2 linked regions of the Daphnia pulex genome follow. The protein of the gene in region 2 purifies or fractionates together with the protein of the main gene of each other region. This does not show direct contact. Links are inferred from orthologs where the notes say so. Each region holds a gene or a part of one and is shown on either strand. Other genes may lie near its edges.

What was found.
Region 1: the proteins of histone RNA hairpin-binding protein-like (region 2) and regulator of nonsense transcripts 1-like purify together in Homo sapiens (affinity purification with western blotting; 4 studies listed by BioGRID and IntAct, with this or other methods). This does not show direct contact. The link is inferred for Daphnia pulex from reciprocal best matches to the Homo sapiens genes SLBP and UPF1.

The regions. Positions count from the first base shown.
Region 1 is NC_060017.1:7,852,126-7,856,356, reverse strand, and holds the end of regulator of nonsense transcripts 1-like, read left to right. Parts: coding exon 1-7; intron 8-66; coding exon 67-325; intron 326-387; coding exon 388-876; intron 877-939; coding exon 940-1,299; intron 1,300-1,395; coding exon 1,396-1,833; intron 1,834-1,899; coding exon 1,900-2,085; intron 2,086-2,161; coding exon 2,162-2,170; 3' UTR 2,171-2,953; downstream 2,954-4,231. Other genes in the region: parafibromin-like, read right to left, coding at 3,416-3,452, 3,515-3,656, 3,723-3,853, 3,917-4,015, 4,084-4,231. UniProt on the Homo sapiens protein: RNA-dependent helicase required for nonsense-mediated decay (NMD) of aberrant mRNAs containing premature stop codons and modulates the expression level of normal mRNAs.
Region 2 is NC_060020.1:3,613,465-3,618,645, reverse strand, and holds histone RNA hairpin-binding protein-like, read right to left. Parts: upstream 2,958-5,181; 5' UTR 2,121-2,957; coding exon 2,005-2,120; intron 1,931-2,004; coding exon 1,595-1,930; intron 1,527-1,594; coding exon 1,298-1,526; 3' UTR 1,063-1,297; downstream 1-1,062. Other genes in the region: uncharacterized protein LOC124192277, read left to right, coding at 222-446, 517-657, 728-1,048; lysine-specific demethylase 6A-like, read left to right, coding at 3,448-3,536, 3,598-3,664, 3,726-3,873, 3,936-4,044. UniProt on the Homo sapiens protein: RNA-binding protein involved in the histone pre-mRNA processing.

The DNA.
Region 1 (4,231 bases), on a different chromosome or scaffold from region 2:
TTGAAGGGTAAGAATTTACTTTGCGAAAATGTGTCATCGTGGGGCTAAAGTTAACTTCTATTATAGAGCTTCAGAGTTGCGAAAGCTGGTCCAGCTTAAGGAGGAAGTCGGTGAGCTTTCACAGGGAGATGAAAAGCGATACCGCATGTTAAAGCGACAAGCAGAACGAGAGCTACTCGAAGCAGCAGATGTATTAGCGTGCACTTGTGTTGGTGCTGGTGATGTTCGCTTGGCTCGCATTAAGTTTGCATCTATCTTGATCGATGAATCAATGCAAGCTACTGAACCTGAATGCATGGTCCCTGTCGTCCTAGGAGCAAGACAGGTAAGAATCCCTTGGTATTATGTGTTTTAGATTTTTATTAATTCAATGTTTTGGGTGTTTAGCTCATTCTGGTTGGAGATCATTGTCAGTTGGGCCCAGTGGTGATGTGTAAACCAGCTGCCAAAGCTGGTCTCTCGCAATCACTGTTTGAAAGACTGGTAGTACTTGGCATCCGGCCCTTCCGTTTGGAAGTACAGTACCGTATGCACCCAAGGTTGTCCGAGTTTCCTTCCAACTTCTTTTACGAGGGATCACTACAGAATGGTGTTTGCGCGGAAGACCGAATCCTTCGCGGGGTAGATTTCCCTTGGCCAATGCCAGATAGGCCCATGTTCTTCTACGTTACATTGGGTCAGGAGGAAATTGCTGGATCGGGTACGTCCTATTTGAACAGAACGGAAGCGTCAAATGTGGAAAAGATTGCTACACGTTTTCTTCGATCCGGAGTCAAACCAGAACAAATTGGCATCATCACACCGTACGAAGGACAAAGAGCTTATCTTGTACAGTACATGCAACATCAAGGATCACTACATGCTAAATTATACCAAGTAAGGGAATTCATATTTCAAAACCTTTTACGAAATCTTTAAATTTGTATTTTGTTTTTGAAGGATATCGAAATAGCTAGTGTAGATGCTTTCCAGGGTCGCGAGAAAGACCTCATCATCATGTCGTGTGTTCGCTCAAACGAGAACCAAGGAATCGGTTTTCTCAACGATCCCCGTCGTTTGAACGTTGCTATGACTCGCGCCCGTTACGGAATCATTATTGTAGGCAATCCTAAAGTGTTGGCCAAGCAGCCTGTATGGAATCACCTGCTTCACTTTTACAAAGAAAATCATGTTCTAACTGAGGGAGCTCTCAACAACCTCAAAGAATCCATGATGCAGTTTCCCAAGCCAAAGAAACCAATTAATAGTTTTAATCCTGGTCAGCATTTCATGTCCACAGCCGTCTACGACGCACGCCAGGTATGTTCGTATTCACAAAAGAATTATTTCAAATTATGTAGTGCTTGTCTGTCAAGGATCTTGTATTCTATTTTAAAATAATCTTATCATTTAAAGGCCATGGTTCCTGGTTCCGTCTATGATCGTTCGGGTGGGGGTCAACCACCAAACAACAATGGTATGAATACTTACATACCTCGAGCCACGGCCAATGTTGGAGATCCGTACAGCCGTTTGCACGATCCAATCGGTTACATTGCTCCAGAGAGGGCACAGGCCGCTCTTTCTGCTATGCCCGTTCCCTTGGGTGTCTTTATGAACATGACGCACGTCCCGCCTAGATTCCACGGCCAGCAGCAACAAGGGATGCATGGTTCATCCAAATCCAATCAGAGGCCAAAAGACAATGCCCGAGGAAGTGGGCCTCGCGCTGGCAAAGCCGCAAGCAAGGGAAGTTCTTCGCTGTTTACACAGTCACTTTCGCAGAATACACAGGATGTATCAACGCAGCCTTTCAGCCAGGGTGGCATGGCTCTCACCCAAGGAATGTCACAGGTACTAAATAATGCCAAGTTGAAAGGGTCGCGAAGGTATGCTTATCCATTTTAAATGTTCTTGTAGGGGATGTCGCAGACGGTCTCGGGCTTCGGAGCACTATCGCAATCGGGTCTATCCCAGTTAGATCCGTCACAAGACGCCTATATGTCATCAGATTATCAGTCGCAAATGGATGGACTGCTCTCTCAAGACTCGACGTATCAAGGGGGCCGTTCAGCCTTCTTCCGCCATGGCTCTCAATTCACGCAGGTAGGTTGATGAAGCGAATTTGTCTTACTCTTTGATTGAGCCTGTTGTTTTCAATCTAATGCCGACCTTTTCTTAGCCATACTGAAAACTGTAAGGCGTTGCAGTAATAAAAAAGACCCTAAGAAAATTGACGATGACGACGCCTGGCGGCAGCCGACCGTATTTGAATTCATCTTGCAGTTAAAGATAAAAGAGAAAAGGGGAAATCCAACGTTCATCAACTGACAGCTCGAAAGACCTATGCCCATCTATCAAATGGCCTTCAACGTCGCACACCATAAGCAGCACTAGCAATCTGCCGTTGAAGCAAGAGAGCGGTGTCCAGACGAACGAGCCGATAACGGAGCTGATGGGCTTCAACAAATTAATGTCGAAAAATACGGGAAACAACTGCTATACCCATACCATCCAACATAGTGGACCCTACCTAAGTCTGTTTCTAGTGGGTTGGAAGCCAACACAAAATCCCTTCGACAAACGACGTTTTTTTTTCGATAGAACGTCACCCAAAATTAGAATGCTTCTTTTGTAGGCCCCTCAGTTGATAACGCGTTCGAAGCTTAGTGAACTGATTTTTTTGAATTGTTTATTTCTCTTGACTTGTTTTCTCTCCAGTCGACCAATGCTTTCTCTGTTTCCTTTCACGCTCTTCAGCTTTCTTCACCTTATGCTTTTACATGCAAGTTTAGTTGTCCATTCATTTCGCGAGGATTAGTGTTGGGTTACTGGATGTTCTCACTTTGCTGTTGCCGAGCCCTTTAATAGCGCTCTTTTGTAGGAAGCAATTTCACATCGTGCGTTTTCTTTCCATCTTGACGGAGAAAATCAGATGGAAAGAAGATCAGAATACACTTTGTTTCACGGGAAATCATCGAGTGCGTTCTTTCTTTTAAATATTCAAGCTAACTCTGTTGTGCATAAAAAAATGACTGATATTTTTGTTTGGCAATCAACTACATAGTTATGAAACATTGTCTTCGTCTTCTCAGTGTTGCCAATGAAATTCTGATGATCCTGTAAGCAATTTCCAACTCAGCTGAAGGCTGGTGAGATCCACTTTACCACTAGGAATATATTCTTTAAAAGTGTCCTCGGCGTCTGCCATTTAGTTCCAGCCTATCACCAAAAACAACAATCCTTAAAAAATTTTAACACCAATTGGATAAGAAAGAGCCTTAAAATTGGATTAGTATTTTGATTGGATGTGAACAGGTCCGTGTATCACAAAATCAAAATTAAAGACATTACAGAAGGTGCCAACAAATTTTCGAAAGATAACGCGTATTAGTAAGAAAGATTTTGATACCCCATAACTCGTTGAAAGTGATGCTCAAAATCGAAGATGTTGTTTGTTTTTTAACATGTGCCTGGATAAAATAGAAAATATTTATGCAAGGAGAATAAAAGACTAAGAACATGGAATGCTTACCTGTCGAGTTTCTCCCAGAACGTCATTAGGGCAGCGCGATCAAGATGTCGTTTAGTTCGGGACAAAGAAATCACATTTACAGCCCATTTTGCTACATTCTGATCCAAAGGTATGTCGTCCCATTTAATATGAAAGGCGGAGACTGTTGTTTCAACGAAAAGAGTTTAAATCTCGAATTGAAATCATGGCGTATTTTAGCACAACAAACCTTGAACGAAGATTTCTACAGGGTTTCCAGTCCATGGCCAACCTTTAAATTGCCAAGCAGGGCCCATAACAAAGACGGCTACGACTCGATCCCAATCCGCGGGGGCTAGCTTCTGGGGACTGTCTATCACTCTACAAGAAAATAGTTCCATATTTAATCAACACATTGAGACTTTTAGTTAATAGAGAGCACACCGATAGGGCACCGTTAGATTTCCTTCTTTGCGTCTTTGTAAAAGGATCTCGTTGTCTCTTCGACAACCCTGCTGCCTTTTTTCTTCTGTGCTAAGAAACCTTTTCAAGAGAAAATTCATTTTTAAATCGACCAGAAAGTCAAACCTTTGAACTAATTTTAGCCTTACTTAAGATCTTGCAACACGTCCTTTGCGTTGAACATGGTGATTAGAGAGGAGTTGGCGGATGGAATAATAATGATTGGCGTTCGAGATACTCGCTTGGTCGGACCGGTTGAGGGACGTGGTTGAGCAACAGCTGTAGGGGCAACAGCAG
Region 2 (5,181 bases):
TTTGTCGGGTGTTCCCCAGATGGGGTATCTATCAGCAAAACAATTGACTTTACCGCGCGCGTCAAGTTTTGGACGTCAAATTTTGAAGGTTTCTTCAATTTTCAATAAAGTTTGTTGGAATTCGTAACAAAAATATTAATTTATGTAATAACAGGTTTTTTTTCTCTGTATTAGAACGTTTTCATAGAATTCCACACAGACCACACCTACGTCAGGCCGAAATGAATCCCGAAGCAGTGACAATAGATTGCTCTTGGAAGATCGAAAATGTTGATGCTGTTCGAACAAAAATTTTGTGGAAGGAACAATTGTCTGAATTGTCTGAGGAAACTAGTATTGAAAATTGCTTTAATATGAGTCAATCGAATCCTGACTCTGGCCCCTGTACACTAAAAATTATTCTTAAAAACAACAGAAAATTTGCTGCCCTTCAAATTTTATCTGAGGTATTGCCCAGATCTATCTTCCTTTTTATCTGTTGCCAAATTATTCTTTTGATTAATTAATTAATTCAAGGTTCCCATGATAGAAGTACATGGGCAGTATGAAGAATATCTGATGACAGTGAGAGGGGAACTTCTGGAAGAAGTAGAAGGCACTTCTTTGTATGAATGCAGAATAGATCTGAAGAAGATGCAGTCAGAAATAATTCTGAAGGTTGTTCCTATTTCACACTATGGTTGCCAGGTTGTCTGAATCCATTTTAAATATCCCCCATCTTATTTAGTTTTGCAAACTAAAGGAAGCAACAACTGTATGGGTGTATGGGATCTCTGCAGTGACGGTGGAAGCTACCCCTTCAATGCGATCTCTCTCGGGGCAATCTGCTGGCGCTAATCATTTGCTGTCCTCAATAATGCAAGGATTCAATCAAGATGGGAAAAATGTTGACAGTATCGAGATGATAATAGACAAGAAAATTAAGGAGATGGAAGAACGCATGATGGCCAGAATTGAGGAACGACTTGGCCGCCTAGAGAAACGAATGGAGGAAGACAATTCAAAAATGATCTCAATGCTATTAGACCTGAAAACAAGTAACAAATAAATGGTACATGCTAATGCATATGACGAACATGTTTAATTAGGTGCATATTTCACGGTACAGACGGTGAAGATCGTTGAACAAAATTATCGAAGAATTAGAGGCTCTTTAGGCAGCCGAACTTAAGAAAAAAAAAAAAGAAGTTGTCAAAAGTAATTAACACTAAGACCTGCTTGTCACTCTTAATAGTGCAATATAAACGGGCGCAAGATTTCACATAAAATTCGATGATGAAGAGTGTAGACAACATGTTTATAAAACAACGTCGTCGTCGATTAGGTCGAAAGGGAGGTAATCAAGGACGTCTTCGACATCTTTATCTGCAGCAGCTGCATTTTCTTTCTCCTTTGGGTTACTGGCATCAGATGTGTCAAAGACATGCAACATTTTCCTCCACACTTTAATGGATCCATCCCAGCCCCTTCGGCTGTACTTTTTGTACTTGTTAGGGGTTTGGGGGTGTTCCTTGGTTCTTTTATTTCTATGGAAAATTTCTGTAAGTTTAGTATGAAATGTTTGGATTTGCACATGTAACTTTAAAATACTGACTTGGGTACAGTTTTGAGATAATTGTCATAGGCAATGGTATTCTTCCCATAATCAATTTGTTTCTGTCTTCGAGACAGAACTAGGGGATCTTCTTCAACTTCACCATTGGAGGAAATAGTTGAGCTCCTGTCACTTGTGTCTTCAACCTCAACCTCAGTTTTCTCATCTTTGACTGCAGTTTTTAACTCCGCCAAAGCAGAAGATGACTGTTTTTCTGTCTTAATCAAATTTTTCTTTTCTGTTTGGGCATAAGAAGTTGTCAGAGAGCGCTTCAATTGCATGTTTTCTCGTTTGATTTCTTTCCTCTGAGCTGGACCCCTCTCTGGACTTATAATGCTTTAGCCACAAAAAATAAATATGGTTAGTTTCTTCAGGAACTGATAATTTATTTAATGAGCAAGCATTTATACCTGGCAGAATCCCATTCGCGTTTTCGTAGCATACGAGTGCTAGGATGAGTCTTTTCAGACACAGTTTCTTCACCATCAGAATTTTTTTCTGTTTTAACAGCTTTTCTTGGACTCATTGTAAGCTCAGTAATTTCTTATAGAAAAATAAGTATTAAAACCCAACAAAATACAATGTTTTTACTTTTTACACTCTAAAAGAGCAAACAGTGATTCAGTTCACGTAGTTGTTGACTTTGTTGTCTCGGCCTCGGGTGAAAATAAAGCGGGGGGTGGGTTTTCTCGCGCCATTTGAATTAGAAGCAACTTCTAACCACATTAAACATGGATTACAAACTGCGTTGCTAACCAGCTCCATTCAGCTGCATGCCAGCCAGAGTGCTAACATAGTGCTAATATAACCAGAATAAGTTTATAAATATTTTAAATACATCTATAACCCCGAATCCCCGATCCATTTCTAGTGTTATTTTTATTTTACAAAATGTCCATCCATGGCCATAACTCCCATAAGGCCAGGTCATAGATAAAGACGACGTGGTCTTTATCTGTGGCCAGGTTAATAAGGCCATGGACTTCCAAAATGTTGCTAAGTTTCCTTGCAAAACATCTGAAATTAAAACCCTGGTAGATGTTAAAGACGATAAGAAAGCAGTCTCTATTGCTTAAAAATAGGCATTTCGCATTTCTAATATTCGCAAGGTCAACGAAAGATCATACGGCCGGATGAGACTTATTCCCGGAGCCGGGAGCTCGCCCGAACTAGGGTACAAAAAACAAGTATACATAACTACATATCCATCACTTCTCATTTCTCAACACCTTATAGTTAGGCAAGATTATACATGTACATCTAAGATAATTATACTTTTAATTAGATTTATAATCAAGCCGCACGAGCAAAAAGGCATTTGAAACGATAACCCGTCGGAAATTAGAAATTAGAATATCTCAAATTCCCATATCATGCAGCATACATACAAGGCCACAACCACCCACAACTCCACAAGTGCCACAGCATCTTAAATTATCAAGAAATATAACCTATACCCAATAAAAAAATAGTACTTCCATTTAAAAAATTAACTATCCAGTTTGAACGAATGCACCAAACAAATCCTAAATGAATAAGGATGTTCAATTTTAGAAATTACACTTTTACACTTTATACAGAGGCAACCCTGCATTAGGCTTGTGTCTGTTTTGGCTGTCATTGCAAAAAAAAATAATAACTTTTTATAAAAACTATGATGATATTTTTGTGTTTTAAATCAAGATTGATGCCAAAAGTTTTTATCTGATGGAAAGGAGTTAATATTTTGTGGATAAAAATCGAAGAACTTTTCTTCAAGTTGTAGCTCATTTGCTCACCGATCGACGCTAACGATAGGCGTTTCGTTTTGAAAATTTGGATTGAATTACCCTTGCCCGATTTCGAGGTTGTCAATGAAGATGACACAAACGCAACAAGATAAAGATACTGTAGATATCAACTTGACTCCACAGGAGCTTCAAATTTTATCAGAACTTGATAGGTATATTGCATTGTATTAAAAAAATCTGTGTTGTTTTTTTCACACCGTTACTTTGTTTCAGCCGTCAGTATGGTTTCCTGCAACTCAACAATCCTGAACATGCTGCAAAGAAAGTTTTAGTAGTGAAGGTTTGTAAGATTAAGTTCATATTCTTTGTAATTGAAAAATCTCAACTATGATGAATTATAGGCAATTCAGTATTTGGAACGGATGCTGAGTCAAGCTCACCAACAGCTAAAAAATGAATCAGATAGCCCAGAGAAGGGAATCAATATTGATCCAAAAACCTACTGCAAATTGGGCCATTTTAACATTCTCATTGAAGACTACCCAAAAGGTTTATTTTGTTCAATTACTGCATTGTAATTCTCTGTATGCCAACTTTTCATTTCCATGCAGCAATGTCAGCCTACCAGAAATTCCGCTCTCTAAGAGCTGACCACTGGAGAGATACCAACTATCTTTATGGCCTAGGACTCGTTTACTTCCACTTTAATTCTTTCAATTGGTGAGTATAGAGCATCATAGTTAGTAAAATATTCAAACAGTTGTACGGGTGCTTGGGTGCAGTGTACCTATCCCTCCTCAACAGTTTCACGCGGTCACGCCGATATTAGTTACGATTCTGCCTCACAGAAAGCGTGGCGGTTTCGTGAACGTGACAAGAATCAACAATCTAGAGACTATCATTGAGGAGCCACCTCCTCCTCGAAAGTTATTTAAACTTCTCTCGTTGTAGTTGTTTATTTTGCCTCCTCCTCCCTCCCCTTGCTCATCTGTATGTCCTCAAGGCTGTTTTGAATAGGTACTATCAGCGCTGGCGGGTGGGTCAATGTTTCACCTGCAGAGAGTGGCACCGTGTTCCAAGAGTAGTCGTGATAGTTCCTAACACCAAGGTTGTCTACTCACTTCCGGCCGTCGCTAGATGGTTCTGCAGTGCTCATTTTTAGCCCGTCACGATATTGTAGGGGTAGAATATATTGTGCCTGAGGCTGCTCGGTAGAAAACCTCTTTGTCCTCGACCCTTGAAGATAAAAAAAAAAAAAGCAGCAGCAGCAGCCGCGGCGTCCTTCCCTCCCTCACCACCCTATACCCTACTTTCTCACCCCTCCACCACCACCTCTTTGAATTGCTGGTTGAAAAAAGAAGGAGGGGGAGGCAATCCAAAACTATAGGCGCCGTCGACGTCGTTTAAAAGCGGCTGTTCTCGCTCCTGCGTTTCTTTTTCCCTCGGCGGATGTGTACTGCAGGGTACACCGTACCTTCCTTTTAATCCATTCTACGGTTGAGGCCTCTTTATTTTTCTCTCTAGCGCGTTTTGAACCCACCTCCCCCCCCCCTCCACTCTCTCTCTGTATATGGGAGGGGGGAATCGGCCATGAGGCTACAAGATACCGTTGGCTTGGGCTGAGTCGTGCTTGGTCTGAGCGAGTGTTCGGAGCTGGAGAGCGGTTCTGCTGGTTTTGTGGAGGGTGCGTGTGTGTATGTGTGAGTGAGTGAACGAGCTGGCCTAGCCCCGCGCCAGTCGTAGTAGTGTGACTGTATGTGTTATTTGCGTGAGCGTGTTTTTTTTACTACGCTGGGCAGAGTGAGGCTGTTTTATTTGTTTATTTTTCCTTCATTTGACGGAATTGAGGGACGTTGG